Linked DNA regions of Cricetulus griseus. The protein of the gene in region 2 interacts with the protein of the main gene of each other region in a pairwise test. Links are inferred from orthologs where the notes say so. Each region holds a gene or a part of one and is shown on either strand. Other genes may lie near its edges.

Region 1 (8,231 bases), on a different chromosome or scaffold from region 2:
AGAACCAAACCAAAACAAAACAAAAAATAAAATAGGTGAGTATGGCAGGAAAAAAATGGCCAATCCACACCAGCTTCAATCCATTCAGAACAAAGAAGGCGGGATAGAACTAACTACAGGTTTTATTTTCCCTACTCCCTACTTTTTTGGGACTACACATATTAAACTCCACATGGCAAAAATTACACAAGTTAACTATCACTCTACCTGAAAGTCAACAGAACTTCATAATAAGGTAAATGAATTCTGCTGGGCACAGTGGTAAATAAACACTACCTTTAATCCCAGTACTCAGGAGACAGAGGCAGGAGGTCTCTCTGAGTTCCAAGACCAGCCTGGTCTACAGAGCAAGTTCCAGGGATGCCAAAGCACATAGAAACCTTGTCAAAACGATAAGTAAATCTTGCTCTTTAAGTTTGAGACAATACTCCAGATAGTGATACCACCAGAACTATTAACCCAATGTTAAGTTATAATATTCACATAGTACATTTAACTTTACATGAAACCCTAATTTACATGAAGTCTAATTATTAAAACGATACCATAACAGTAGATGTCTAAGATTCACTTCCAGCTAATGAGATTAAGTATGCTTCTACCTACTTTTCTCTCTTCATTAATGTCTCCCTTCATTGCAATTCCCTCCCCTTCTGCTTCTCAGTGTGACTTAGTCATTCTGGGCATCTTTTTCATCATACTTGAATCCTCTACCCCCAAACTGCTTTAACTCAGCCCCCCTTAGTGTTGTATGGGGTCACCCATAAACACCTATGGGATCTCCTTTGTCACCCATCTCACCACCAGCAGTCCACCTCTATATAGCTTCCACCCAACCCCAAATACACTCTCAAAGTGAAACCTGGTCTGTGCTTCCCACTAATAGTGCTCCCTCTACTCTCTCTCTCTCTCTCTCTCTCTCTCTCTCTCTCTCTCTCTCTCTTTCTGTATCTGCCTCTTGGTTATGAAATACATCTGACATCTTGAAAGACAAAGAATGCCATACTAAAAGAACCTGTTCTAACTTTAACTCACAAATACAAAGTCGATCAAAAGAAAGCCTATTGTCACCAAGGTGACAAATCTAGAATTAGCCATCAGAAATGGACTTCTACTTGCAAACTGTAGTGCACATTTGAATCTTCCCATAAAACTTGATAAAAACAGAAGATCAAGCTCTACCTCAGACCAAGAAATGTAATTATCAAGAAATTATACAACTAACCACACATCTAATAATTTCTACCATGATTTCAATATACATACATGTGAAGATGCAGGTAAAACCTCTGTTCCCTAACAAAGCTTCCTAATTTAACAAGCACTTCCTTTATCAACCTGTTAATATTATTAAGGTATTGCTGATTCTATGAAGCTTTCATTTATCTACTCTCCCATCCATCTCCCTGAGTTCCCATCCTTTTATAACAGGTTTTCAGACATCTGTATATATTCCTAACCAACACGCTCACTCCATCTGACAGCACTCTAACAGGTAGGAAAAGCAAATACAGAACAGGAGAGTGAAGGGGCTTAGCCAAGCTCTGAGCTTACACACCCACATCTCCTGACTACAGACCTAGAATCCTGCTTGTGACAGGCGCCTCTTGCATATTTATTTCTTAAGTACTGACTTATTCATCAGTTTATTTGTTGTTTCCTTCATCAGACACTAAACTCCCCGAGGGCAAGCATCAATCTTGACTTTTGACCTCAACGTTCAGTTACTCAATACATGTTTATTTGATGAAACAAGGGATGAAGAACTTGCTTAAAATCCGGCACCGTATAACTAGTTTCATGCCTTGACTTCATAGACTGAGCTCTGAATGTATCAGTTTACTACATTTGATCTGACCTGTAACTCTACTGCTTGATTTATGAGACAATGCATTTCACTGTTGTTTTAAACAAAAAAAAGGGAGCCTAAGTCTATAAAAATTATTCCAAAACATTGAGTTTACATTGCTCTCGATTGAACCAAAATCTCCAAAGTTTAATTTTCACAATTTCATCTTACAAGAGAAGGCAACAACAATGTGGTTTTAAATTACAACAATTCAAAAGGTAAAGTTGATTAATAATATATGACGTAAAGAAATTCATCGCTGACTGCTTGCAACCAATTCAGCAACCTACTTATGCTTACAGTGAGCCATGCTATCTTTGTCTATCAAAATACACTCCCACGTCTGTCATTTCCTTGAAACCCTGGGTAAACACTACAGTTAAGCTCTGAGCAATGAGTACACTAGGCACATACATGCAATGTCCTCCATGCCTGGAATTCATGGGTCTGGTATGTGAACACAGAAAGCTCCTTAACTTTTGGTAGATTGTACACTAAATGTAATAAACCAACAAAGTTGGCCCTGTTTGCAGGCAGCTCATTAAAAAAAAAAAAAAAAAGCTGGAGACTTTCCCAAACTGAAAATATGCAAAACATTGTTTTTAGAAACTCACATTTTAATGATATCCATTCTATGTAAAAATGAAGTAGTTATTCCCTTAACACCACTTTGACAACCAAATTATTAAGGGGGAAAAATCCTCAAGAAACAACATGCTGTAGTGGAAAGTACAAAGGGACTAGACATAGAGTTCCAGTTACATTCCTAAATTACTGTGACTTGGGGCCAAGGGCTCCACTTTCTCTTTTGTTTAAAATACTATATACCAGGAAGGACTTCTTTCATTTTTAAAGTTGTCTCCCCAGCTTTCTTTCTTTCTTTCTTGAAACTGTTTACTACTTCTGGTTGTAGACTTGGTGTTCTTTAAAGTCTAAATTTTTGAACAAGAAATACATCTTAAGTCCAGAAGTAGATATAAAAAGTAAGCTCATAAAGTTAACAATTAAGCTGGTAACTTTCCAGAAACTGTCTACTCTTAACTTCTTAAGCAGGTGTAGTCTGGTTTGACATATCTAACATTGCTAAGGAAAAATATAAAATGGTCCTACTCAGCTGAAACTTCTCAGCGTGTTTCCTGGGTTCCAGGGGCACACACTCGGCGGGTGTTAGCAAGAGACTAGTCAGTATTTTAACAATCCCCCTTTCAACTCAAGAGTCACCTCAGTAAGACCAAGATAAGGCCTTCACCAGGGAGAGCCTTCCAGCCCCAGAAGCGAGTCGTGAATGCCTCCGTCAACAACAGGCATTCCCCCTTCCCACAGAACTACTCGCTCCCAATCCGCCATCTGGGGTTGGGATTGGCCCCACAGGACCAAACTCAGAATCACTTTTGACTCCAATGGCCAGGAACTAGTAGAAACTGCGGCGTCTCTATGCATGGCTGCGGTGAGAGCAGCACTCTCTCTTACCAATGCAAGGAAGAAAAAAAAAAAAAAGAACAAAAAACCAAAATAAAACAAAAAACAGTGGGGCGGAGTGCAGAAACTAGGCCTAGGCGCAAACGCTGGGGAAATAAGCCCTGCTTCTTTGCAGTGGGGTGCAGGCGCATTTCCTGCCCCTTCCTCGCTCTGAGCCGGTGTCCGGGAACCTGCACTCCACTTTACCCTTCTCACGGAATCCTAAAGGGGGGATCGATAAAGCCGATGCGCGCTTCTCCCCTCCTCCCCGCATCTATTCACTCCTAAAGCCCCGAGCATTGTTAACGAAGACAGCCCAGATCCACAAGTAGGAAGTAAAGCAAGGCTGGGCTCCCGTTGGGAGATGAAGCTACTGATGCACCCAGAAAAATTCCCTTGTGGTCTAGAGTAAAGTTTGAACCTGCAGCAAGGGCGCGGACCCCGACTTGGACTTCTGGGCAGGCCCGCAGAGGTGACACTCCCTGGTTCTCCAGTAGCTCAGGGAGGCGGCTCCCGGCCGGGCAGGGCCGGGCAGGGCGGCCTGCACCCGGGGCAGCACCCGGGCCCGGGCGAGCGAGCTGGAGGCCTGGCCCGCGGCGGGACCCCGGCCGCGCGCGCCCGCCCGCCCCCTTCTCCCTCCTAACTCTCTAGTGCCCCGGCCCGAGCCCGCCCGGGGACGCGGTGGGTGGCGACAGGGGTCTCGCTCGGCTCACTGACCACACATTTCTTGCCGAGGAAGGAGAAGAGCGACTCGTTCTCCTGCGGGGTGAGCAGCAGGGAGCCCACGTTGGTGACTCTCCGCGGAGGCTGCTGGCCCGAGCTCATGGTGTCGCCGGCGGGGTGCCGCGTCCAGGGCTGTCTCCTCAGGAGGTGGGCGAGCACTCACTCACTCGGTCCCGCTCGGGGTGACAGGGGCGCGGGGCCGGCGCTCACAGGCGGCGCAGCATCCCGCCGCTCCTCCGCTGCGCGGAGGCCGAGGGAAGGAAGGAAGGAAGGAGCCGACGGCGGGCGAGCGCGCGCGGACTGCGTGCCGACAGGGAAGCTCCCGGCTCCCGCCCGGCTCGCCTCGGGCCGGATGGTCGTCGTCCTCGCACTCCGCGGCGCGGCGGCGGCGGCGGCGGCTAACGCGGCGACTCCTCCTCCTCTGCGGCGGCGGCGCGGCGGCGGCTGCCGCACAATCCAACATGGCAGCGGGGGCGGGCGAGACCACGGGACGCGGGACGCGGGGGAGCGCGCCGGAAACGCGGCGCGGCCGGACACCCCTCCTCTCGCTTGCTGGTAGCCGGGGCGTGGCCGCGCAGGCCCCACCCCCTTCCGGGAGCCAGCGGAGGCCCGCGCACCCGCTCAGCCCGGACCGGGGCCGCCTCGCGCGTGCGCAGAGTCGGACCGAGGCGGGGCTGCAGAGTCCGGCGGCGCACCGCCTTACCGCAGCGCGCACCGGGCCGCGCGTCCTCCCGCCCCAGTGGTGGCCAGGGTTTGACATTTAGCGAAGTGGGACTCTCAGGCCTCCTGGCAGGTCTAGATTAGCTGCAAAGGTCGGCCAGCGTGGTTGCGGGCGGAGCCTCCATCAGGTGCCCCCCGGTTCTCGAACTCACGACAGGCTGCCACTGGGGGCGGGGCGGGGGCGGAGGAACAGACCTTTGCCAGGATCAGGGGAGGCGTCTTCATAGATGTCAAAATCGGACCCGCTTTCAAAAGACGTCCACCACCCCACCCCCCCCGCCTGGCGGATCTCGTGGGATAAGTGTGTGTAGTATTTACACTCGAATTTTCCGACGAGCCCCGAATGCCACTTTTTTTTTTTTTTTTCTTATCTTGTGAATTGGAAACTAACCCTCTCTCCATCGTCCTCAGTCTCGAATTCCTGTACAGGATTATGCCTTACCTGTTTTATCCTTTCGAGTTAATTTTTCTAGTTGCTGGGACCTAGGCCTGGGGTGCACTCAGCCAACTGATCTACATTCCCAGCACAAGTCAATACGGAGAATTCTTCATGACTGTGTTTCAGAATATCAGAAGTTATTATAAAATAATACGGTTGAATGGAAAACTAAAAAAAAAAAAACAGTATTTAAAAACTTGGGCGTATAGAAATGATAAATCAGATTGCATCGAGTTATATAAAATGTACATTTCACCATTCTTCACATTAAGGATAATTAAGGATACACTTTATCACATAAATTGTACTAACGATGTTCTCCAATCATTCAGTTTCAATTAAACACTTGCATATTAAAATTTTATGACATGATAACTCTCAATGCATTGGTAAACCATTACCAAAAGTAATGAAAATATAAAAGTTTTCAGGCTGCCTACAATCCCCATAGTGAAATTAGGTGACCAGGAAGAAGTCTACAAAGGAAGATGAGATCTTACACTCTTAGGAGTACTCACATAATATGTAGATATTTCAAATTAAACAAATCATAATTTTAAGGGGACAATCTTTAAAAGTGGCAAAGACAAAAAAAGTGGCGAAGACTATAAGATAATTAGGCTTTAAAAAGGCACAAGTAGAGGTGCAAACCACTTTATGTCAGTTTATGTTTTATTAAAAATACACCTCTTATTAACTCAAAGCACAGTGACAACTGAGATCATCAGAAATTCTTGGGACATGATTCAGCCGTGATGTGAATTTTAGTATCCAAAAACATAGGCTGCAGTTGGTTCAAGGCTAAAGTTCCTGTTAGATCTTTTCTGTCTCACTTTCTTCATCTGTAAAATGAAATTGCTCTTTCATAATGTTAATATAGTAGAAGTTGGGACAGTAACACCTACTTTAGAACTGTAAAGTAAGATAACCTGATACTCAGTGGTCACTCAAATCCTGCCTGTCATTTGCCATCATTGCTTATGATCTGTTAATTGGTTCTTTGAGTAGAGCAGTGGTTCTCAACCTGAGGGTCCTGGCCCCCACAGGTATCAGATATTTACATTATGATTCATGATAGTAGCAAAATTAGAGTTATGAAGTAGCAATGAAATAATTTTATGTTGGGGGGTCACCATGACATGAGAAAGTATTAAAGAGTTGCAGCATTAGGAAGGTTGGGAAACACTGGTGTAAAGGATCAAGGATTGAAGAATATATTTTTGAATTTGTTGTTTGTAACCCTGATCCTTCAAAAACTCGTATTTACAGCTTTACACAATTCTCAAATTTGTGTCAGTGAGTTGGGAGAATAATCTCTTTTCAGGCTACATATTTTGCCAAACAGGTTGTTTTATCCCATTATGCTCAAATACCAAAATGGTTAATTAATACTATAATTCTAGACAGGCCTGTTATTTAGTAAAATCCAAAAAGCTAGGACCTAGCCCAGAGAATGCCTGCTTAATGTGTGCAAGGTCCTGGATTCGATCCTCTTCACCAACAAAGAAATGAACAGGCCAGAAAAAGCAATTGCAAAATATTTTGAGAGTGTCTGTCAGTAGGAGGGTGGGAAGGGAGGGGTTGGAGGGGAGATACCTGGGAGGGGCTGGAGGAAGGGAAGGGAGAAAGTGATGCAAATCTATTTTCATTTAAAATTGTACACAAAATTAGAAAGAGCAGTTTTTGAACTAAAAATACTAGGTGTCATAGAGCAGTGAACTGCTTTGAAAACAGATGTGAGAGAAAATTGTGGAAACAAACAAACAAACAAAAGCTGTAGGTATGTGTCTCAGAACATGCGAGAGACCTATTGAGTGCCAGTCATTTCACACACTTTTACTAGCCGGTGTTTCCTGTTTGTATTGTCTGCCTTTTTCCTTCTCAGGAAATCTTTATGTCTTACCTAAGTACAGCTTTCATTCACCACCGTTTGTTTTCTTTAGACTTGAAGGTTAAAAATAATGATGATCATAATGCTTTTTCCTCAATCCCAAGTTATTGCTTTGTGTCTTCCACACATCTTCAAATATAGTACTTTGTCCACAAAATTACAGCTTCAGTTCTTATTTCCACTACTTTGTTTTTTCCTCGGGACTTTCCCCAATACCTTGATAGTCTTAACACATGAAAATTTAAGCGTGAACATTTCATTGGAGATGAGACTTCCTTACTCGTTTGAACATATGCATAAAGCCTTGGCCAAGTTCCTCTTTACAGTACACAAACTATACTCTTTTCCACATTCATCTTGACATCAAGAAGTATTAGCAAGATTTGTTTCCAAAAGCCCAGCAAGTCAGGACTTACTCTTGATAGCATAACTTCTCTAGCAGGGCACATGACAGCTTTCATTGTTTTCTTTGGCAAGCCATTTTCTTATCTCAAATTCTTTTTGCCCAGTTGCAGATACTGGATTTGGTCCAGGAAATAAGCATTTGCTTCTCCTGCAACTGCATGTTTTGAACTTTATTAGCTGGTCTAAAAAGAGTAGGGTTGTTTTATCTTCATGTAAAAGACATATGCTATATTAAAATGTGTAGAAATAGAACAAATAAAAAAGTAACTCTTGCATTTACTTCTTTCATGTGGTTTTCCGTCCCTAACCTAAAATTTCTTCTAGTGCTTCCTTTTCTGCTGTCTTGCTTGGCTATAACCCTTTAAGGTGAACCCTTCATTTTGTCAGAGAACCTTGGAGTAGCATATTTATGGAAGTGAAGGCATATTTTCAGATGTCTCCCCTGCTACAACAACTACACTTGGCACGTTTTTCTTCCTCTGTTCTTCAGTTATCCATTTTTCCTCTTTGCAGATGTCAGTGTGCATGTACTCTTACAAGTCTTCTGAAACACACTACTGCACTGGCTAATGTTAATAATTTCAAATGTACTGACACCCTTCTCTGTGGGAGAATGGGGTAATAGCAGCACACTGGGATCTATGGCATTCAGCCATTGCAGCCATAATTGCTGGCACTGACATGCTGCCTAGCTGTGGGAGAATGATTTATAGAGACAAAGCAGCAGATCCGCATGCTGCAGAGAA
Region 2 (8,474 bases):
CCCCAGATGGAGGTGACTCATCCCCCTTGGGAAGGGGCAGTTCCAGTCCAAGCTAGTCCTAGAACACTCTGTTCAGTGTTAGCATCCTAGCCGATCTTGAGGATATTTGGGTCAGAACCCTTAGAACTACATAATGTTGCCCTTCCCGTTCAAATCATCCCCATCAGTGCTGGAGACCAGTTTGCCTCTGGGAGGACTTCCTCAGGAAGGCAGATGACTCGTGGCTTCTGGGCATCCTTCAATCATAGCAACCATAGCACGCTGCACATTCCTAAGCCTGGAATCAAAACACTCTCCCACAGAAAGACTATCCCAGAGTAAGAATATCTGACCCAATTATGCCACTTCCCACTGCAGCATCTGGAGGGAAAACAGGGGAGAGAAGTCAAAGTTCTTTCTTCTATTAAAGCCACAGAAAAACTGGGACTTAATCAGATGAGTCAGAATTTATGTGAAATGTGTGTGTGTGTGTGTGTGTGTGTGTGTGTATTAAACTGACATTTACATAAACACCTGTGAAACTAAAGCACAGAAGACAGAAGTGAGCCAGGGAATTAAGGTCTCTTGGAAAAAAAAAAAATCACCCAGCAAGATTTCACTACGCGCTGTTAAGTTTGTATAAACTTGGTGATGGGGTAAACCAAATAATTGATGGCTATGTAACCACCAGTCAATCATCTACATGGCTCAAGACCCAAAAGCAAACATCTGCCTAAGAGCATGTTAGACAGAAATCTCCATACCGCTTCCAAACTCATACAGACAAACACTTAGACTGGGAGGACATTCTTGGTCTTTCAACCTGGGCCCACCATACATGGATCTATAGTTTCCTGGACATGTAAGAACAATGCTGAATTGTTCTTAAGATTCAGGTTTATGTTGGTTTTACTGTTATTGTTGCTGTTGGGGGGGTTGTTTTGTTTGAGACAGGATATGATTTATATAGCCCTGTCTGGCTTGGAGCCAGCTATATAGACCAGTTTGCCTTGAACTCCCAGAGATCCACCTCCTGAGTTTTAGACTTAAAGGACTGCCCCACCTGGCCTAACTTTCATACCAGTCTTGATGTTTAAAAGTTTTAATATTAAAAAATATTTTCACAGACAATGCACTTGATCATAAGGCTGAAATGCTAAGATTTTAACTTTTTGTTATTTTTAATAGAATGCCCAAAACTTTTTTCTATAATTATTAAATTTAGGGGAAATAATTGGTGATGAAAACAACTATATTGTGGGGAATATAACCAACATTCATTCTCTGGAGAGCTCTAAGCCATTTGGGTATGCCTTCCAACCTGGCAGAAGTACCAACCCATGGATTAAAGGTCACATAACTAGCTTCTTCAAGTGTCTTAAAGATCTACTTGACAACAAAAAAGTGGGCTTAACCATCTGTGTCTGGTGGTGCAAGATTTAGGTTACACACAGAAACAGCAAAATCTCACCTGAAGCCTTTACATAGGCCTAGTATTTATAGTGTGCATAGCTGACCAGGCTGGGAGCCATATTTCAGATCTCTGTGCATGGAGTGGCATTCCATCGTCACTGTGCAATCTCAGCCTAAAGGTCAAGGACAAGCCCTCACAGTTCTGCCAACCATCACCACATTGGCTCTAGTGATGCTGTTCACCTCCAGGCCAGTTTGTTGTTATTCTTGCTGTTGTTTGGGGTTTCTTTCGTTTGGTTTGGTTTGGTTTTTGTTGTTGTTTGTTTGTTTGTTCTGTTCCGTTCCGTTCCGTTCTGTTCTGTTCTGTTCTGTTTGCACTGCCAATCACTCCTTCATCTGCACAGGTTTGTTGGAATACCTCCATCATCCTCGAAAAGCCTTTTATGCAGAAGTATAATGTATGTTTCTAAATTACATTTTTATTCCACATACCCCAGGATCTCCAGAAAGACTAAATGAAAAGAAAATTCCGTCGGCTTACAGGCAGCCATGGAGGTCTTCAAATGCTTCTCCATGTGGTTTGATATGAAGCATTCATGTTCCATGACAGCCCCCAGAGTAAGTTATCTTTGGTTGTCATTCAGGCTGTTCATCAGCATGCAGTGCCTCCCTCCCAGCCCAGGGTAGGATGGTGCTCCTGACCCTTCTGCTGAGCCAGCTAGGCTGCTTCCTAGCCTTTTCTCCATGTCCATTTCCTTGCCTGCCATGGTGATCCATGTGTGTGTGGCTGTTCAATCAGTGCCAACCCTGAATAAAGAGGACAATGCTGTCCTGAAGAGATCCAAGGTAAGCAAACAAACAAACAAACGTGTCATTTTCCAAGTTACTGAGCTTTGGGGATTGTTTGTTATGGCAACATAACATCCCTAGCACTCTAGTCCTAAGTGAATTGTTATTCTTTCACAGAAAAGAAATGTTGGGGCACGGAGCATCACTGCAAATGCTACTCTAATCCAAAACAGAAGAAATGTGGGCTCTACTACATTGACAAGCATGCATATGATTTGTAGATACGTGGGTTATTGACAGGTACTTACTAAAGCTGATTTTTCTTCAACCCCGCCCTGGTAAAACTGCTCAACGCCATTGGATAATCTGCAATCTTCAAAATCTCATAGAAAAACAAAGTTCTTTGACTTGAACCCATTTGTCAAAATCATTTGCAGGGTCACATTTCGAAGACCAGGCCCGTTAATCAAATGAGGCTTCATTCTGAGGTACCAGACAAATTAGCTAACTGTTCTGCTCCTATGTCATTGAGGAGGGCCAGGCTGACCCGGGAGGTGATGATTCAAACAAAAAGGGAAACAGCCAAGCATAAACAACATTGGAGAACTCAAACCAAGCCAAAGGCAACACTGTATCCCTTCACTTCTGAGAGGTGAAGCCTGAGCCCAGCATATGCACAGTAAGAAAAATTTCAAATGCCCCATGTCTGGTTGGTTTCCTCTATGTAAAAACCTGAGGGGATTGGGGGGTGTGGTCTGGAATGCATGTCTAAGCATTGTGTCCAAACGGGGACTCATAAACTTGATCACATGTAGTATATCTACAACCTGCACAATCCCGTCGTCGTCGTCCCCCCCCCACCACACACACACACGTTCATTTGAAACAGTGTGACTGGAAGATTTTCTTCCTCAATGCAGAAAAGAATTGCTTGAGTTTCTTGTTTAAGTAAAGAGAAAAGTGTCGGTTTTCACTTTGCTTTGAACTGGTGAGTCAGGGAGCACTGGATGATGTCATATGTTAGCCTGCAAGCCCTGATGTGGTTCTCTCTGCTCTCAACTCAGTCCCGTCCCGTTTCCGTGGCAGACAGTACTCCCCGGGTTCCATCCTTTCTTCTTTGGCTTCTTCCCAGCCACAGGCTAGCAGCCTGGCTAGCAGGGCTTAAAACAGGAAGTCTGACCGCTTCGGCCGGCTACGGGACCCCGAGGGTTTTCCCACTGGGCGTCCTGGCCTGGTTCCCCAGAAGTACAAACACACGCACAGAGCCCCATTGTTGCCGCCTTCCCGGCCCACTGATCCTAATATGGAATGCAGCAGGAAACCCACGATTTCCTGACGCTTGGCAAGCTGGAGGAAGCGAGGGGGGAAACTCCGTTTAAAAGCCCTGCTCTCCTCCATGTTAGCTGTGTGCTGGAAAACCAGACAGGAGTTGTCCAAATCCCACCGTGTCATCATCAGCCAGGCTGGGACTGGGGAGGGCAGAGTGAGACTCTCACAGGCTGCTGAGATTTCTAGACTGCCAGGAAGTCCCGGGAAGTCTGTGGAAACGAGAGCGTCTTAACTCCAGCCATTGGAGGGAAAGGGACAGACCTTTTACATCCCTCCTCCCAAGAGCGTGTTACCTTTCTTCTCTCCCAGCATGGTGAGCGGCGGAGCTGGTGTGTGTCTAGGCTGCGCCTGGGAGATCCAGGCCAGCCACAGCCAGGCCGCCTGAGTTCCAGCCTGGAGCCGGTCCCACCGCTCCATGCGCTGCAGAAAACCCAGCCCCAGCCCCAGCCCCAGCAGCAGCAGCAGCAGCAGCAGCAGCAGCAGCAGCAGCAGCAACTGGAGCCGCCAACATGAGCTGCAGAGAAGGGACTGACAGCAGCTGTGGCTGCGGTGGGCGCGACGAGAACAGGATCCTCAAGTGCGTGGTGGTCGGGGACGGCGCGGTGGGGAAGACCTGCCTGCTGATGAGCTATGCCAACGACGCCTTCCCGGAGGAATACGTGCCCACTGTGTTTGACCACTACGCAGGTAGGAAAAAGTGGGGACCAACTTTTTCTACATGAGCAGTGGGGATGGGGGTACAGCCCAAGTTCAGAGGAGCCTAACTAACCCAGAAAGTCAGAGCCAGATGTGGACCTGGCGAGTACCAAGTTAACTCAAGCCGAGAATGTTGCTAGGATGGGGAGAACCTGTGCGTCAATTTACTTGGTACCGCCTTCCCACCTTGAGCAAATGTGTAAACCTGGAAAAATATCCTCCAGACCTCGGGGCCTGAAATTTTTCTCAACATTTTTGCCTAAACCTTCCTAAACTTTTCACAATGATCTTCTTCTTTTAAGTGTAGTGTAATTGCATAAATTTCCATTTAAAAAAAATCACCACTAGACACGTGGGAAGAATGCATTACTCCTTCAAGCTAGTCAGTCATAAATGAAAATGCTAAGGTAACCAGCCAATAAAACATTCTCCTTTTTTTCTGGATTACTGGAGGCTTAAATTTTGTCTTTCTCTCTTCTGGGGTGGTAGATGAGGAAGAAAGTGTCCCAAGCTTTTAGAATATTGAGTGGGAAGTTAAGTAAAAGATTGCTATGCTTTTACAAATAAAAATTCAAATGCAAATAAAATCATTTTTCCAGTATGTCCTGAAAAGACAAACTTGAGTATGAACTATTTTAAACCATGTTCCGATGCTGTCGTCACGCCTTAATTCTTTCAGGGGACTTTTAGTTTTTGAGTGTTCGATAACTTGTGAAAGTTCAGTCAGCACCCTGCCATGTTTCCCACATTAGCTGCGACCTGTAAGCTTCCCCTTATGGGAACTGATGTGTTTCTCTGAGCTCACCGTGGCCTCGGTTTTATAACATTTTTGGAACACAGCGATCACCAGTGAGTTATCAGGGACCTGGGGTCTGATGGGAGGAAAATTCCTCTCTCTTGGCCATGGCTCGGGATCAGATCAGTGTGAAGGAAGCCGCCCACAGGAAGCCAGCCTGAGTCTCTGCTCTTTGGCCATTTGAAATCCTCCTTCCTCCCTCCATAGGAAGTAGCCGCTTCTCCGTCCAGAGTACCATAGTCACCCCATCTCCCTTCCTTTTAAGTGTACATATTTGTAATAGTGGTATACAGTGCGCCCGGGAGAGATTCGCTGCTGGGGAGGGGGTCCATTTCCTAACAGGTTTTTTTTAGATTTGTAGAAATTACCTGAGCTTTTCTGAAAATAGTATGTCCAGGGAAGAACTTTTTAATGAGTATGGAACAAAGATAAAAACAGACTTTTCCTGGGGGGAGGTGGAGGAGATGTTGTAAAATATGGGGATCTGTACCTTGAGGAAGGGATTCTAATTCTGGTCCCGAAAACATTGTAGCAGAAGTTATTTCTCCTGTTATCTTCTTTATGGCAGAAAGGAAAATAGCTAGCACTTTATTTAAGTTGCTTTCTGCTCAAAGATGGAACTGAAAATCTACTAAAAGGAAAGTCTTCGAATGCCTGGGAAATTATGTCTCTGGATACCCATCCCTCGGGTGAGCCAATTACAATCCTATTGGCAAGCATCTTTGGCCATGAAGTTAGTCTATTAAAAAAAAAAATGAGGTCAAAACAGCTGGACTTTGCTAGCATGGAGTTATTTTATATTCCAATTATATTCACAATGACTAGGATTCGAGCACCAAAACCCCTCAAAGAAGTTTTACTGTTCGAGTTTTCATGGACTAAACTGTATTGTTTTAGTTCTCGAGGAATCACGGCCCCTAGACACAAAGCAGTTCTTTGCACACAGTAGGCATTCCTGAACACGGTCACTTCAGTTTATGCTACATACTTCTTCCGTATGTGATCATCTCATGTACTGTCCCTGTGGTTAAAAGGGGAGGAAAGGCATGAGCCACACTCACACCAGAGACTCAGGAAATGCTGGTTTCCATCCCAAAGACTCCACCCTGCTCTTCCTGCTCAGGCTATGCATCGGTCCCTAGGTGGCCATCAGGGAGCAAACCAACTCTAAAACAAGCAAAGGCCCCTTCCCCATCTGGATCCAGTTATCAGTTCCCTGGGTCCCACTGACCCACTCTGATATGACAACAGGAAACACAGCTGCCGTGTCTTTAGAAAAATGGCCTTGAAGTCAGGGATGGCCTGTCTCTTGAAGATGGCTCACTAACAACAGAGTGTGCATGTAATAGTAAGGAAAGTGTGCAGCAATATCACATGAGCCTCTTCTAATACTGTCTTTTCCACTTACTCTGTGGCCTTGAGAAAGTCACTTAACCTCTCTGTGCCTCTGTTCATAATGGTAACAACAGGGACAATAAAGGTGTTTGGATCGTTTTTAAAAGCAAAATGAATTCATGTGTGTAAAGTTCTTAGGGCCCAACACACAATGTGGGGTCAGGTATCATCTCAAGGTCTGTACACACAATGATGGAATTGAATGAAAATGTTATTGAACTAGGAACTACAATGGAGTACGGTGTAATTCCAAGAGTGTACTGTAATACAAGGACAAGGCGGGATAGAGCGCATGATTATCCTTATAAAATAGCTACCGTGGGGCTGAGGAGTGACAGCCCTGGCTACTGTAGTAAGTGGGATGTTAATGTAAGAGGTAGGATACCAGACTCGCATAAGTAATGGCAGAAGAAAGAAAAGGCTGGGGAAAAGTTGAAGTTTTATTACTACTAATTTATTTACCCATCTTTCCAAACTACCAGAATCCCAAAGTACACCAACTCCATGGTGGCTCTCCTGAGGACAACTCCTTGATCTGTGTCCAGTCTACTTCTCGAAATGTGTTTACATTTCTAGGGCACAGTCTGCACCATCCTGTCCTGATTTATGAGTTTCCTTAACTGCCACCCCCACCCCTCTCTGAGCTCTGGCTCTCCTTAAAGGAAGGTCATCCCTCACCACACACACACCCCACCCCCGGGTGTCTTGCCCTGTAGCTTTGATGGTTAGCTACTCTCCTTAAAATACATTCTTAGCTTGGTTTCTGGAACACCTCCTCCCTCACGGTTCTGTTCCATACCCTCAAACTCTCTCCACCTCCTCTGAGTCTCCCTCATTTCTCAGGGGCTGAGTGGTAACATAGTTCAGTGGTCAGTCCCTTGGTTCCCTTTTCTGGTTAGCCTCAGGACCCAGGTGTTAGAGTATCTAGTTTCACAGCTTAAGATAGCATTGATATGCTGCCAATTTCATATTTATATCTGCCCACCAAGCCTCAGAACACTCATCTATGCACTTGCCCCACTCCGTTTATCTGTCTAATAGGCATCTCCAACCAATGTTTGTTTTAATTTTCCCATCTGCTGGTCCACCTCCCTTCTCCACATAAGATCGCTGCTGTTTTCTCCTGCTCAGTGACTGAGAGCAAACACCAGTGTTACCTGTGACTCCTTTCTTCCTTTGACAGCATCCTCCTCCCTCTCCAGTCAACCATCAGTTCTTATCCCTTGTCCCTACAAATGAGCTCAGCCTTCACAAAGCACCAAGAACCAAAGCTGGCCACTTGCCATCACCCTATTTCTTGCCTCTTCTCCTATCCACACCACCATCGTCTCTCATCCACACTACTATAGTGGCCTCTCAATTCTCTGCTTCAAAACCCGTCCCCTGTGTGCCTCCACCCAGGGGAACCATCCCCAATCCCAGCCCCCCACCCCAGTCCCTTTCCTCCACACTCACACGCTTCCTGTGCCGTAATGTCAAGGTGCTCAGTGACTTTGTCCATTTTCCCTTCTCTCATCTTCTAACCCTATTCTCAGTATTTCTGCTGTAGCCACAGTGACCTTCTTACTGTTTCTCATGGAAGACTCCTTGAATGTTTGCCATTCACTCTTACCCTGACCTGACACCCCGCCCCCAGATCTGACCTAGCATTGATTGGTCACATAATTTAATCCATGTGTCTGTGCCTATGTGTTCACAAAAAACAAAAAGCCCACACTCACACCTGCGCATGTGTAAACACACATAACACACATGACTCCGACCTCTTATTCTGTTATACCTTCCTTTGCCATATTTAATACTACATGGCATTGTGTGTTTACTGGCTATTGTCTTAGTTATGGTTTCTATTGCTGTGAAGAGACACCATGACCACAGCAACTCTTATAAAGGAAAAACATTTCATTGGGGGGCTTACATTTTCAGAGGTTTAGTTCATTATCATCATGGTGTGACATGGTGGTGTGCGGGCAGACATGGTGCTGGAGAGGTAGCTGAGAATTCCTGTGCAGGCAACAGGAAATGGTCTCAGGTTCTGAGCAGTGTCTTGAGCACATGAGATCTCAAGGTTTGCCCG
Region 3 (8,323 bases), on a different chromosome or scaffold from region 2:
GACTGAACCAACACAAACTTTGATATGACTCTTATTGCCTGTTGAGTAGATGATGCTAATTTTGATATATGCACATGCCTTGGTTTGGCCTCCTTATATTATCTTCCTTTGATAGACACAAGTAGGTTTTATATTTCAGTCAGTTTTGTGTGTGGTCTTTTTTGTTTCAAGCCAAGAGAATGGATACTGCTCTCTTGTTCATTATGTCCTAGTATTTTTTCCACTTTTATGATTTATTTATCTTAAAGAATTTTGTTAGGTTCTTTTGGATGCAGAAAACAAAAAAACAGCTCATCTCAACTAGGGGTGGTGGTAGGGTGTGTATTAATGTTTATCTTAGTCATTTATCTATTTTGGAAAATATTGCATGCTTTAGGAACTAGAATGATCTTTTGCCTCACTAATGAATTGGAAGCTACTTATTTTGATAACCCATGTTCAATGCTAATTATATGGGATTTGAATTAAAGTAGCCAACATCTGTATCCCTCAAATATACATCCTGTGTTGCTAGCAGGTGGCTGAATGTAGGATTTGATCGACTACAAGAGAGTAAATGGTATGCACTAAGTACGCACTTCAGAATTGACCTAAGTAGTGATAGCACTGGTTAGTCATCTTATTTCTTGACGCTTTACCTTAATACATTCATCCCCCCGTCCCGCCTCAGGTGTCAAATAGCTCATCTGGCCTCCAACTCACTATGTAAACCTTGAACTCCTTCCTCTGCCTCCCAGGGGCTGGGATTTCCAGCTGGCATCACTATGCCTGGCATGAATTATATCTTTTCTAGATCTCTGTTGGCAACGTTTCTATTTTAGTTTGATGATTTAGCTACGGGTACATTTCTAAATTTAGTTACGTCCCTCAGTACTTTTAGGTTTTTATTCCATTACAGACTGTGACAGGGTGTCATGTTATAGTACAGGCAGGCCTCAGATCCACAGGTGTGAATCACTCTGCCCAGCTAAGAAATCTGGTGTGAATTCAACAGTTGCTCATCTGTGGAGAACCGTTTGGGTTTTTTTTTGTTTTTTGTTTTTTTTTTTTTTTTTCCTGTCACTTTATCTTTGGTATTCTGCAGCTTCCCTGCCATCTAAGTGGCTATCAAAACCCCTGAGATTTTCAAGGAAAGTTGGTATCTTAACTGAAACCAGCATGGCTTCCTTCACTCTGCTTTTCTCCTTGTTTGGGGCTGAGCTTGGGGTTTGGAGAACTACCAGAGAGAGGCATTCTTCTCTAGTGACAACTTAGCTATGTTTCTACTAGGATGTCACATTTTAGCAAATGCTTCTATGTTTGACAGTGAGAACACTTCGAGTTATCTTGTGTCTTTCTCTGCTCTTCATAGCAGTTTTTCTTGAAACAGAGCACAAACCACTACTGTTTTCTAGAATTTTTTGGATCACTCTCCCTAGTTCACTTCTCCCTCTCTCTCTCTTTTTTTTTTTTTTTTTTTTGGAAGTGGGGCAGGGTGCAGGTGTGGAGATCAGAGTTCTCTCCTACCATGTGGATGCTGAGGATCAAATTCAGGTGGGGAGTCTTGATGGAAACCCCATTACCTGCTAAGCTATCTAGTTGCCCCTCCCTCCTCCCTCCCTCCCTCCCTCCCTTGCACCCTCGCTCCCTCGCTCCCTCTCTCTTTCTTTTAAGGTGAGTTATTATATGTGATCTAGGCTGGTCTTGAACATTCCTGCCTCAGCCTCCTAAATACTGGGATTGCAGGTATGCAACATCACATCTGACAATCTAATGAGCTTAAAGGGTAAACCAGGTAACGTTACTTCTCTGCTTGAAATTGTTTAATGGCTTCTTGAAGTACACACTTCTTACAGCAATCCTGTCTGCTGTGAAGTTTGTTTGGCTTGGTTTTGTTTATTTTTTTGAAATGGGATCTTGGTTTATAGCCAGCCCCATCCTCAAATTCCTTATCTTACCTCAGTTATCCAGGTGCTGGAATTGCAGGTTTGCTCCATCATATGTATTGTACTCCAGTGTTTTCTAATATACCCAACTTGAACCAAACTGCAACTACACAGATCTCAGCCTTTAATGGCTGAGTCATCTCTCCATCCCTACATGAAGCTACGGACTGAACCCAGGACCTTGCACTTGCTAGGCAAGTGCTCTACCAGTGAGCTGGATCTCCAACCCTATGTGGGTCTTCTTAACTGACCATGGCATTCCTTTTCCTTCCTACCTGTAATCCTTGCCTCTGGGTGCTTCTGGCTTTCTCTTCCTGTTTTCACTTTAAATGTCACCTTCTCTGTCCAAAGTAATCTCCCTCGGTTTTTGCAGAGTAACAGATATCAATACTTTGATTATTCCGTTTTCATTCTTTACAAACTTTAAAAGGACGAGGTAAAGCATTTCCAACTTCAAATCCCTAGTACCTAAAGGTGTCCTTTATAGGCATTAGACACTGACGAAATTATAGAATAAGAATACTTAGATTAACTCCTCCGTTGATAAATACAGAGGTTTTTGTTTGAGAAGAGGGAGGACATAATTTAGCAGTATAATTTGATTTGTAGGTTTAAAAAAAAGCAAAGTGGTGAATGAATGAATTCTCAGAAACAAAGATCCTGTATACACAAACATATATGGATCAGATGTTCTCCGTCAGTATCTTCAGTAGGTAAAGCGTAACTGCAGACAATGCAAAATGATGAATTAAATGAGGGACAAGTTTTCTCTGTAATCCCAAAACGACCTCTGCGCCCCCCACCCACCCTCCCATCCCGCCAGCAGATGACTGGACTACGATTCCCAGCAGCCCTGTGCAGGCCCGCCCATCTGGAGTGACGCAGGGGAGGGGCGTGTCTTTACTTCAGGCCCTGCCCCGCGCCTCGCCGCCGCCCTCCCCCAGGGTTGTGGCCACGCGCAGCGGCAGCGGTTGTTCCGCTTCCCCTCCGGCCCGGGCCGTCGCCATTGCCGAAGGCTCCTGCCCTCCCCTCCCTGGCCCGCGGGGCTCCGCGCCTCACGGCCTCGGTAGCGACGGCCGCGCCCCGAGCCGCTCCCCTCTGCCCTGCCCTCCTCCCTCTCTGTCTCTCAGAGCAGCGCTCGCTCGCGTCGGCCCGGCAGCCCGCCCCGGGTCGGGCGGAGACCTTCCCTCTCTGGTAAGTGCGGACGCTCTCGATCGGGCCGGGCCGCCGCCCTCCTCCCGCCTCCGCGGCCTGGGCCCAGCTGCCCGGGACGCAGGCACCTGCGAGCGGGCCCTCGGCTCCGGGCGGTGGCTCATTGTCTGCGCCCGGGTTCTCCTCAGCTTCGACCGGGAGGAAGCTTGCCGGGCTGCGCGGACCGGCTGTGCCCGGCCCCAGTCCGGCCGCCCTCGCCCTTCTCTGCCGCGGGCGCTGCACCGGACGGCTCGGGTTTGTTCCTGGATGTTCCCCCCTCTACCAGCTGCGTTCGCTGCAGCCTTGGGGCTCCGGAATCCTGTCGCGAACCCCTTAGGTTCCGTCTGTAAGCTCTTCCTCATTCTCCACATCAGGAGAAAGTTTTGCAGGGCTCCGGGAGCCTCCGCTTGAGAACAGAACTTAAGGATCTTCTCACAGTTTTTGCTTGATCTTCAGCCAGGAGGTGAATATTTGCTTCTTAAGGTTAACTTGGACTGAGGTTGGCTTTTCACCATGTTTGGCTGTCTGAAACACGCGCGCCCTCACTCACAAAAACGTTGCCGCAAGTAACTTTGTGGACTCCAACCTTTTGATTAGTTCTTTAGAGATCAAGTCATCCAAGACAGCAGTGTGTAAAAATAATTGCCACTGTGGCTTGATGAGAGGCTCTTGCCATCCTCTATCTTAATTTTAATAGGAATAGATAGAGTGGGAGAGATTTGTTTCTTCTTTGGTAAGTAACTCCCATTGGTAGCGGCCAGGTTCTTCTTTACAAGTGACCTGTAGATTTTCTATCATTTCGTTTCTAACCTTTTTAAAAAGACAACCAAACCGGTTAGGCCCAAAATTAGACGGCCCACGACGAACTGTGTTTTGGATGAAGGTTGTGCACGTCACGTTTTTCCCCTGCTGTGTTTGACTCTTCCGCTCTTATAAGTAGGCAGGATATTGAAATAAATACACAAGAATTTGCTCTGGGGATTTTTTTTTTTGTAGTTATCCAAAAGAATAGCATGAATAAAATTAGGTCGGAGTGAAGGCAGTGAATAGTAATTTTTAAAGCAGGTTAGGGCATGTCAACTTTGCCAGAAGCCCTGTGGCATCTGTAGAACATTCTTGCCCATCTCTATCCCAGCTCTTCAAGGTGTGTGTGTGTCTGTATGTAAAACCCTTTTCATGTGGTTTTACACCGATCCTCTCTTTTTTTCCTCCCCCTGGACAGGGCTTCATTCCTGCTCAGTCTGGCTTGACACTTCCTTATGTGCCGGGATTGCACATGTGAACTAGCATATTTGGCAATCTCTGCCTTTAAGTCTTTCTGGAGATTAATTAGCCAAGAACACTATTGTACATTTACATTATGGAAACTGAATTTCATGCTGTTGTTTAGACAGCTAGGTAGGTAGACAGGTCTGTAGATAGATACTGAATTTCATGTTGTTGCTTGGATAGGTAGCTAAGTAGGTAGATACTCATTTTAAAGTAACTTTTCAATTTTGGTAAAAGAGGTTGACCTAAATTCAAAATGTTTCATTGTTTTCATTAGACTATTATCTTTCCCTCTACTAGGCTGTGGGGAAAGTTCTCAAGTACTGTCATTCTTCGGTACTGTCAATTGGTTAATGAGATGCCTTGAGATCAGCTTCTGCTATTTCTTTGTCTTTTTTAATCCCTTGGACTAGATTGCACCAAAGTCCTCCCTATGTCTCTAGGCAAGCACTCTCACTGAGTTACAACCCCAGCCCTTTTTAACTTTTTGAGACAGAGTCTCAGTTTTCTAGGCTGGTTTTCTCGTTGTCGATGAGGCAAGTCTTGAACTGGTGTTCTTTCTCTGTCTCAACCTTATCTGGGATCACACGCATGTGGAATTGTCTTGCGTCAGCTCCTAGTCACTGAGATTAGAGGTGTGTACCATTGTGTTGGTCAAGCAGACATTAAAAAAAAAAAAAAAAAAGAATTCTTGGGTATTTCACTTCTTGGGGCTATGATTCCAATTTTCGATCAGAGGAAAAAGATTAATTCTTCTGGACTTTGTGTTATATGATACTAACACTGCAAACCTAAATTCATGAAGTATGGTTTTTAGTTGATGTATGTCTGCCAAAGGAATGGGGTTCTAGTGTTTCTTTGATCTTTATGATAGGCAGATTGCCAAGTAGATATGTTGGGGTAGTTTATATTTCAGTTCAATTACATGTTTTAAATGAGGGAACTTAGAACTTGTTCTGGTTAGGTACGGATTAACTTTGAATTATACTTTCACAGAACCTAAGAGCTAGTATAAGTAGCCAAGTATAAAACAAGTAGGTATGGTTGAATGCTTACTATCTTTATCATTATTGGTTATTACAGTAATAATATTAAGTGTATATTTCTTTGGCTTTCTGAGTTTTCTGGTTTTGGTTTAAATTGGACTGGTTCGTCTTGAGACTAGTTCAGGTCTTTTCCCCTCAAGTGTTTCTGTTTACAGAATTAACTGATTCTTGTCTAATGAGAAGGAGGTTGTTACTTGCAAATTGTGCTTCTGAGTTCTTCTTTTATTTATTTATTTTTTTAATGGTCAGTGATGTTTTGATTGCATGTATGTCTGTGTGAGTGTGTCAGTAGTTCTGGAACTGGAGTTACAAACAGCTGTAATGAGCTGCCATATGGGTGCTGGGAATTGAACCTGGGTCTTCTAGAAGATCAGCCAGTGCTCTTAACTGCTGAGCCATCTCTCCAGCCCCTCCTTTTTAATTTTGAGGAATTGGATTTTATGTGTATGTGTGTTTTGCCTGCACATGTGTATATGCACCACCTGGAAGCCTATGAAGGCCAGTATAGAGGTCAGATCCTTGGAACTGGAGTTACAGACAGATAATTGAACACCAGTTCGCACTCAGTGCTTTTAACTGCTGAGCCATCCCTCCAGTCCCCATTGCTAACAGTCTTATTTAATAAGTTAGAAGTAAGCTTCTGGTGAGGGTGTGTGTTTTTTACTTGATTTAAATTCTTTTGTTTAGTGCTTCTGGGACAGTGTCTTCATAAATGTAGTCTGGTGGTCTTCTTTTTCTGAGCCATCCAAGTGCTAGCTAGGATTATAGATTGGGGAAAACTCTTGTATATTGATTTCCATATCAATAACCACAGTGGCCCCTCATCTCCAACAGTTATGAGTTACCCCATTATATAGTACTCCTACTATCTGTGCTCATTATGGTTTTCTAGTTCTGAGTGGGGAGAGCCTAATGCCTGTCCCTGTCGTGGAGTTTTGCACATGGGTGTGTTCATGTGCTTCCTCTAAGAAGATTAAATGTTTCTTATTTTATTTTTGTGTGTATTGTGGGGAGGGACATGTTAAGATCAGAGGACAACATGTGGGAGTCAGTTCTCTATGTTCTCTCCTTCCATGTGGGTTGTATCGAACTCAAGTCATCAGGCTTGGCAGCAGGCACCGTTTACCCACTGAACCCATCTTCATGACCAAGAGGATTTTTAAATTTTTATTTATTTATTGGCTTGGTTTTTCGAGACAGAAGATTTCTCTATTAAGCATGTTTCTTTGTGTAACAGCCCTGGCTGTCCTAGAGCTCACTCTGTACCAGACTGGCCCCAAACTCACAGAGCTCCATCTACCTCTGCCTGCTGGGATTAAAGGCGTGTGCCACCACCGCCTGGCTTGATTTTCAGGTGTTTCTCTTTCTGTCTTGTGGCGGTGAGGTAAGGGGAGAGAGGCTCTCAGATGTCTGTCTTTTGTTGTGTAGCTCAGACTGGCTTAGAATGCATCAACCTCTCATAGTGCTGGCATTCCAGACCTATGCTGTTACCACACTTGACTGCCTTTCAAGGTGGTTTGTGGTTGGTTGTTCAGGTCCTGAGGAATAAACTCAGGTGGTTTAAGTTTGGTTGCCTTTACCTGTGTTTTTTGCCCATCTCATTCTACATTTTGATGGTTGGTAAACTGACTTCTAAAAAGATTTCACTGATATAAATGTCCTTATCTATATTTCTTTATTGAATGGATATTTATTTTGCTTCTGTTACCTGTTATACTTTCACAAAAAAATCTATTTTATTTTGAACTTCTAGTAATATTTATATGTGTGTATGTATTTGTGTGTGGTTTGAATGAAAGTCCCCTCCACCATGTTTGAATGTTTTTCTTTCTTTCTTTGACCCACATCTTCAAACAAGTAGATAGACAATAAATACTGTTTGTTGAGTAAATGTGAATTTCTTACATTTTTAATGTAATGATTTAAAATTTTATTTTAGTAGACTTTATATAGCAATTTTAGGTGTACAGCAGAATGGAGCAAAAAGTATAGAGTTATCAGTTTCCCACCATCAGTAACTGTGCTAGTACAGTAGTTCTTTGATACACTTAGGAATGAACAACAGTGACATGTTAGTACTACCCAGAGTCCAAGGTTTATGCTAGCATTCGATCATCATGCTTTGTGTGGGTTTTGACAAATGTATAAGAATGTGTTGAAGATTTTCCATTTGTACAGGGGTAACGCACTGTATTAAATATGTAAGGTCTTAAAAAAAAAAAAAAAAAGAAGGGATTTTGAGAGCCCATCCCATGCGAAGGGATGCTCTCTTGGCCTGGACACATAGGGAAGGGCCTAGGCCTGGCCCAGGATGATGTGGTAGACTTGGGGAGCCCCTTTTGAGGGCCTTACCCTGCCTGGGGAGTGGAGGGGGGATGGCTAGGGGCAGGTGGGATGTTGGGGGGGGGGGAGAGGGAGAAAGGATTGACATGTGAAGCAAGCTTGTTCCTAATTTGAACTAATAAAATAAAAAAAAAGAATGTGTTGAAGAAACACACACAATCATTTCATTCATAGTCAAAATTCTTTGTGCTGGCTGGGCATGGTAGTGCAGATCTTTATTTTCTTTTTTTTTTTTTTTTAAGATTTATTATGTATACAGTGTTCTGTCTGCATGTGTGCCTGCAGGCCAGAAGAGGGTACCAGGTCTCATTACAGATGGTTGTGAGCCATCATGCGGTTGCTAAGAATTGAACTCAGGACCTCTGGAAGAGCAGCCAGTACTCTTAACATCTGAGTCATCTCTCCAGCCCAGGTAGTGCAGATCTTTAGCCCTGGCACTTGGCAGACTTGGTCTACGCAGTGAGTTCCAGTATAGCCAGGGGTACATAAAATGAACCTGTCTCAAAAATTTAAAAAACACCCCCCTTCAAAAAAATCTTCTCTTCTTTC
Region 4 (6,574 bases), on a different chromosome or scaffold from region 2:
TTATTGAAGGAAATAGAAACTTGTGCTGCTGAGGCAACAGTACCTCTGAGCATGACAAAGTAGTCAGTGGCACTGACATGACAAGCCACAATGCTGGCCAAGCATCCTACCACAGTGGAAGAACCAAAACCACAAAGAAAGCAGGAGGTAGCAAATATCCCCAACACCCAGAGGAAGCATGTCCATTTGCAGAGAGCTTGGTCATGCATTTAAAAAGAGGGTACCCTTATCACTAGTAGCACATCATCTCAGATTTGGAGACCTTTTCTTTTGACTGAAATAGTTAAGCTACCAAATGAGTTCATCTTTCAGCTCCTGTTCCAGGTAGAAACAGGCTGAGGTCTTGAAATATAACCTAAGTATAGCTGGCCAGGTGCTGAAGCCCAGCCATATGCTAAAAGTAGCTGCACTTTTCCTCTGACTTCTCACACTGCTCTTACTCAGCATGTGCTCTAGGAAATCTCTCAGTGCTATAAATAAGATTTATAACAGAATGCAGGCAGCAGCCTAGGGGATGCAGGGAATCAAAAGCTGCTACATAGCTAAGACCATTTCACTAGAAATAGCACAGGGAACACTACTGGGTCATGGTTCTCCCAAACAGCTGCTAGAAGCACACACAAAGAAAAACATGGTAGTTCTCCCATGTCAGGATCAGCTGCACCAAGGTCATGGTTCAGGCAACAGAGCCACTTCATGTCCCTGGCAGATTATCAGGCCCCATGGCATTCTAAACTGTTATGGTTTTCAAATACAATGAGGTGTTTGGGCAATTTGGTCACAGAAAGAAAGCACTAAAGAAATTTCAACTGATTGCAAATTGATAATGCTATCAAACCATAAATTTATGTAGTCAAGAACTGATTGTAAGGGGTAAGGAATGGGATGGTTGAGATTTCTGTTTCGTAGAAACAGGTTTATTCAGGTAAACCCTTGCTCATTAAGTCACCTCCCCCATGCCCATGGATTAGAAGGGAATTCCTATTTAGAAATGGCTATTGCTGGATCAGTCATCCAGTTGCAGTTCTCTTCAGTGCTAGACAAACGGTTTCCAAGGATCAAAGTCTTGAGAGCACTAAATCAGGAAATGGGAGAAACAAGGCAAGGGGAAGAGGACATGAGGAATCGGAGTTCCCGAATTGAGTAGTTTCTTTCATAGAAGGCTTGGCACGATGATCTGGGGTGGATGTGGTTTCAGTGACTGTTCTTGGTTGCTTCCTTTGCTGCAGCAATCAGTGGAGTGAGACTGGAGAGGGGCTTGGCAATCTTTAGGAACTGATGCTAGAAGAAGAAAAAGCAAAACAAATATTATTTATCATTCTCACAACCTTTTTGGCTGGGTTTTTTGTTGTTCTTGTTCTTGTTTTTTTTCAAGACAGGGTTTCTCTGTGTAGCTTTGGAGCCTGTCCTGGCACTCGATCTGTAGACCAGGCTGGCCTCGAACTGATCCTCCTGCCTCTGCCTCCTGAGTGCTGGGATCAAAGGCATGCGCCACCACGGTTTGGCACTTATAACTATTTTAAGACAATAAGGGCATCCATGTCAGGTCATTCTCAAACTAAAGGAAAAATGTATATATATTACTCTGTGTGTGCGTGTGTGTGTGTGCGCGCACGCGCACACAAGAACAACTTGCAAAAATCAATTCCCTTCACCATATAGGTACAGGGGAATTGACCTCAGGTTGTCAGTCTTGGCAGCAGTTACTCATACTCAGTAAGCTATCTCACTGACAAAGTATATAAGTTTTACTTATAATAGTTAATACCTGTAAAAAAACCCAAAGGAAGGGTTAATAGATTTATGTTCATATGACATTATACAGAATTTAACACAGTAATTGACACACTGAAAGCAAGATGAATCCATAGACTTTTTGTGTTTTTTTTTTTGGGGGGGGGGATAGGGTTTCTCTATGTAACAGCCCTGGCTATCCTGGAATGTACTCTATAGACCACGCTGGCCTCAAACTCACAGAGATCTGCCTGCCTCTGCTGGGATTAAAGGCATAAACCACCACACCCAGCTCTAATCCATAGACATTTTGAGTGAAACAAGTAAGACAAAGAGTTCATTTTGTATGATTATATTTGTTCCTAGGTAAAATTAAACTATTTCAATAACAGAGTAACTATTATTTCTGGAGAAAACACTAGTATTTAGTCATAAAACTACAGCCTCAGCCTATTAACCAGGACTATAAGTATGAAACATACCTGGCTAAGAATCTTTTGTTAAATCCTTGACTCCAGCAAAGCTAAGTGTTCCAGTAAAGATTTCAATAGTTGGTCCTTTCCAAAACTACTTTCACAGAAATAGACTTTGAGCCATACTTCCAGTTAAAAAAAACATAAATCATATAAGAGAAAATACAATATGAAAATGTTATAGAAAACAATTCTTTATGTAACACAGAGCCTCTTACCTGAAACGGTAGGTTGTTTGGTTTTTGTTTTGCAATTGTCTTGAGGATATAGACTGTTTCTTCCATTTGATATAAATATCAGAGCTATATTTCTTTTTCTGATCAAATATTTATAATTATTTAACATATCTGGTTCTTCTACCATGCTTATAATAACTTTAATTAGTATTATTTTATATGTGTACAGACACATACATAGAGACATATACACATATATTCTTTGCTGAAAGTTGATTCAACTCTTATTGGGACAGATACAGGATATATAGAGGAACTGAGAACGATGAATGATCTTGGTTAAAGCTTGAAGCTATGAATCCCATATTGGGATTCTATCTACTTCTGTCTCATCCTATGTATTTCTGTCCATATGTGTATTCTCACAGAAGAAACAGATGTGAAACTTCGTGATTTAAGATTCTGAAAAGTTTAGGTTTTGAATATTTACCAGATAACACTGACAAGTTAAGCTAGGGTTGAGGTCCTATTTTTCTAACTCTTCTGAAGTAAGAAAGCAGTATCATCCAATACTCAACTAGGAAGCCTCCATTTACTTCTCTCAACAAAGTAAACTAAGTAAGTCCTATAAACCTTCTAGCTCTGACATTTTCTGAGTCTTCAGAAGCAGTGATCAAAAAGCATATATACTTGGCAAGCAAACAGACATGCTGAAACCCTGTATCCTCTATTTGTCAATTGTATAATCATACAAAAGTTATTACATGTAAATTTCCTTACCTGCAAACATGGGAATAACCAATTCTGTAACCTGTGGGACATGAACCCCTTGGGGGCCACATATCAGGTATTTATATTACAATTAATAACAGTAGTAAAATTATAGTTATGAAGTAGTAACAAGACAATTTTATGGCTGGGAGTCACCACAACATGAGGAACTGTATGAAAGGGATGAAGCATTAGGAAGGTTGAGAACCACTACCCCAGACTGCTGGGTTTTACATTGTTTACATGTATCCCAGTAAAATATAACTTATACAAAATTAAACTTCTCAGAGAGCCACTTTTCAAGACCCAACTTTGACAGGCAAATTCAGACAAAATAAAACATGCCTGAAAGACAAAGAAAAAACTTCAAGAGAAGTTCAGAAAGTAGACTTTGAGTTGAGCCAAGGAAAATGTGTACAAATTTAAATAGACTGAGGAAGAAACTAAGGGACAAATTTAAGCACCGGCCCAAGACGGAAGGCCAGGGAGCTATAAATACAAAGTGAGATAGTAGGAGAGAAGCCTATAATAAGAAACCTCAAAGGCAAAAATGAGGTACAAAGATTTGGCACCTCGCTGCAGAAGGATAGTTACCTGCAGTAGTTCTTTAGCTGAACCTCTCTTCTCCACATCCATCTCAAGACAGCGGTTCAAAAAGTCCCGAAAAATAGCCGACAGTTTCTCTGGGTTTTGAAGCTCTGGGGTCCCATTGGTGGCAATGAGGTACAAGGCCTGGCAATACAAAGGAAGAGCCATGTTGTTGTCACTGAGGGATAAGTCCTCTAAAAATATGGTCAGCTGCAGTATGCTCTAGGACACAATGAGGCAGCTTTGATGTTCCACAGAGAATATACTAACCTAAGGATCAAGGTTAACATGTCAAGGCCATATGGCCATGTATCTACACCTAATATATAACTTCTTTGCTAATAAAACAATGCTTCATATATCCACAAAAATAAAGAGTGCATTTGGAAAGCACTTTGTACACTTCTAAGGTGTTACAAATCTAAGGGTTTAATCTTTTTCTTGATTACAGATACAAGGGGTTTATTACTCACTTAGCATGGTAAGTTAAACATCTCTTTAGTTGCTGGCACCAAACGCTGCTGACACCTTCACTGAACTCAGTCACCCAATAGGATTACAAAAAGGCATGTTTTGTTAGGCAGCAATTGTTTTTTTGCTGCTTCCCTACCCTTAACTTGAAGCAACTCTTGAGAAATGAAGTAAAACATAGTAACGAGAAGTTTTTATACACCAAGCTCTTCAATTACAAGGCTCTCTCTCTCTCTCTCTGAGACAGGGTTTCTCTGTGTAGCCCTGGCTGACCTAGAACTCACTCTGTAGACCAGGCCAGCCTCAAAATCACAGAGATCAACCAGTCTATACCTCCTGAGTGCTGGGATTAAAGGCATGTGCTACCACACCCAGCTGCACGGTCTCATTTTTAATGACCACAATAACTCTGAGTAAGAGACAGGGCAAAAATGACTATCCCAATTTCACACATAAGACTATATACCTGTTGCACTCACTGTTTGCCTGTACTCACTGTAATCCCAGTCTTATTTCTATCACATCACACTGATCACTTTCATATCCCAGGCAGAAGAGGATGTGGTACATGTGGAGTCAGAGAACAAAGTCAGAGAACAAAGCTGGGGCCAAAGGGTAGAAACTAAACAAAGCTTCACTTTGAGATAATGAAGCACTTTCCAGGAACTAAAGCTATCCAAGGGTGGCAATATGAACATGTAGTTAAGGGTAGATATCCCTTGCAGGGGAATTCCTGCACTAGATTGGAGGATGGATTAAATGAGAAAACAAAAGCAATCAAAAGAACCTCACAGTTGTCCACAATCAAAATCACCACCTTCCTTGCATCTTTGTTGCATACTCTGCTTTCCTCTCCCATTACAGAATAGAAACATGTCCACACTCGAATGCCCTTTATTTTATGTATCGTTCTTGCTGTCGCTATTTCTCTCTTGCAAATGACCATTTTGTTCTCTTCACTAATTCATTTCCAGTAGCAAACATACAACTTTTAGCCTACCCCTTCCCAACTCTACAAGACATTGTTCCATTTCTCTGTCACCCTTCATAACAAAATTCATATAGGAAGAGAAAAATATTTATAAATGCCATCTCAATTTCCTCCTTTTCTGTTCTTATGGGTTTATTCAAGTTAGGTATTTGTCCCTATCACTATACTAACTGCTCATTAAGGCCTTGCTGAAGGAAGTATGTCACTGGAGGTGGAGCTTAAGGTTTTCTTACTTGCAGTTTGTGGTTCATGTGTGGTTCCAGATAGAAGCTCTCAGCATCCTGTTCCTGCTGTCATTCATGCTACTTCCCTACTATCATGAAGTCTTATCCTCCAGGAACCACAAGCACAAATAAAATTTATTCTTCTGTAAGTTGCCTTGGTCACAGTACTTTAATCATAGCAACAGAAAAAGTAACTAATGCAAAGGGCAATTGAATTTCTCAAAATTCAGGCTATAGGGACTGTTGATTCCACTTTATCTTGTCAAGATACTTTCCAAGTCTACTTATCACCTGCATTCCTACCAGTGTCATCCAAGCTACTACTCTTGTCTGAACTATTTTATCAGTCTCTCACTGTATTTCCTAAAGAAGCAACCAACATGATTCATTTCATCCACAAACAGTGTCCTATTACTATTATCTAGCTGAAAATCCTTTCTAATGCTGCAAAATAAAATCCAAGCTCTCATACTGTCCCACAGGTCTTAGTGTCAGGTCCTTCCTTATCCCTGACTGGCTACCAGTCTACTTTCTCTTCAGTCCTTTCAGGGAAATAGCCTCCTTGATTTTCCTTGGGGCTCAATGAGCAAAAAATTAAATCAAATTCATAATGCTTGGAAACTCTTGCATAAGACTAAATCTCCTTAATTTCTTCTGAAATAACCAATAAAAACTTCTCCATTATTGTTTCAATTGTTCTTACTCTACATTTTTTCAACAGCAGTTGAAAAAAGCATATAATAATTTGGTATTATTATCAGAACAATATCTTGTATATAGTAGGAACTCAGCCCTTCCTCAGCCTATGCAATGCTAGGACTGAGCTCTAAAACTAAGCTATATCCCCAGACCCTGTTATATTTTATATTTTAAATTCAACAGTATCTAGGCGCTGGGTTATGTGTTACAATCATTTAGTGACTGTACATGTGTATGTGGGCACACAGCATGTATGTGGGCACACAGCACGTATGTGGGGATCAGAGGACAAATTGTAATAACTGGTTCTCTGTTTTCACCATGTAGGTCCCAGGGATTAAACTCAAGTCATCTGGCTTAGCAGTTAGAGCCTTAATTCAATGAGTCATCTCACCAGATCCCTTGGCCTCAAACCGGCAATCTTCTACTCTCAGTCTTTCGAGCCTA

What was found.
Region 1: the proteins of Rhoj (region 2) and Wasl interact in binary tests that used the Homo sapiens proteins (3 or more experiments, as listed by UniProt). The two-hybrid records come from large-scale screens. The link is inferred for Cricetulus griseus from reciprocal best matches to the Homo sapiens genes RHOJ and WASL.
Region 3: the proteins of Rhoj (region 2) and Pak2 interact in binary tests that used the Homo sapiens proteins (3 or more experiments, as listed by UniProt). The two-hybrid records come from large-scale screens. The link is inferred for Cricetulus griseus from reciprocal best matches to the Homo sapiens genes RHOJ and PAK2.
Region 4: the proteins of Rhoj (region 2) and Pak1 interact in binary tests that used the Homo sapiens proteins (3 or more experiments, as listed by UniProt). The link is inferred for Cricetulus griseus from reciprocal best matches to the Homo sapiens genes RHOJ and PAK1.

What each region holds. Positions count from the first base shown.
Region 1 is NW_023276806.1:202,724,586-202,732,816, reverse strand, and holds the start of Wasl (neural Wiskott-Aldrich syndrome protein), read right to left. Parts: upstream 4,336-8,231; 5' UTR 4,133-4,335; coding exon 4,025-4,132; intron 1-4,024. UniProt on the Homo sapiens protein: Regulates actin polymerization by stimulating the actin-nucleating activity of the Arp2/3 complex. Involved in various processes, such as mitosis and cytokinesis, via its role in the regulation of actin polymerization.
Region 2 is NC_048598.1:128,166,069-128,174,542, reverse strand, and holds the start of Rhoj (rho-related GTP-binding protein RhoJ), read left to right. Parts: upstream 1-3,224; 5' UTR 3,225-4,019; coding exon 4,020-4,197; intron 4,198-8,474.
Region 3 is NC_048597.1:57,419,744-57,428,066, forward strand, and holds the start of Pak2 (serine/threonine-protein kinase PAK 2), read left to right. Parts: upstream 1-2,885; 5' UTR 2,886-3,119; intron 3,120-3,448; exon of another isoform or gene 3,449-3,579; intron 3,580-8,323. UniProt on the Homo sapiens protein: Serine/threonine protein kinase that plays a role in a variety of different signaling pathways including cytoskeleton regulation, cell motility, cell cycle progression, apoptosis or proliferation.
Region 4 is NC_048596.1:101,603,670-101,610,243, forward strand, and holds part of Pak1 (serine/threonine-protein kinase PAK 1), read right to left. Parts: intron 3,887-6,574; coding exon 3,749-3,886; intron 1,282-3,748; coding exon 1,195-1,281; 3' UTR 1-1,194. UniProt on the Homo sapiens protein: Protein kinase involved in intracellular signaling pathways downstream of integrins and receptor-type kinases that plays an important role in cytoskeleton dynamics, in cell adhesion, migration, proliferation, apoptosis, mitosis, and in vesicle-mediated transport processes.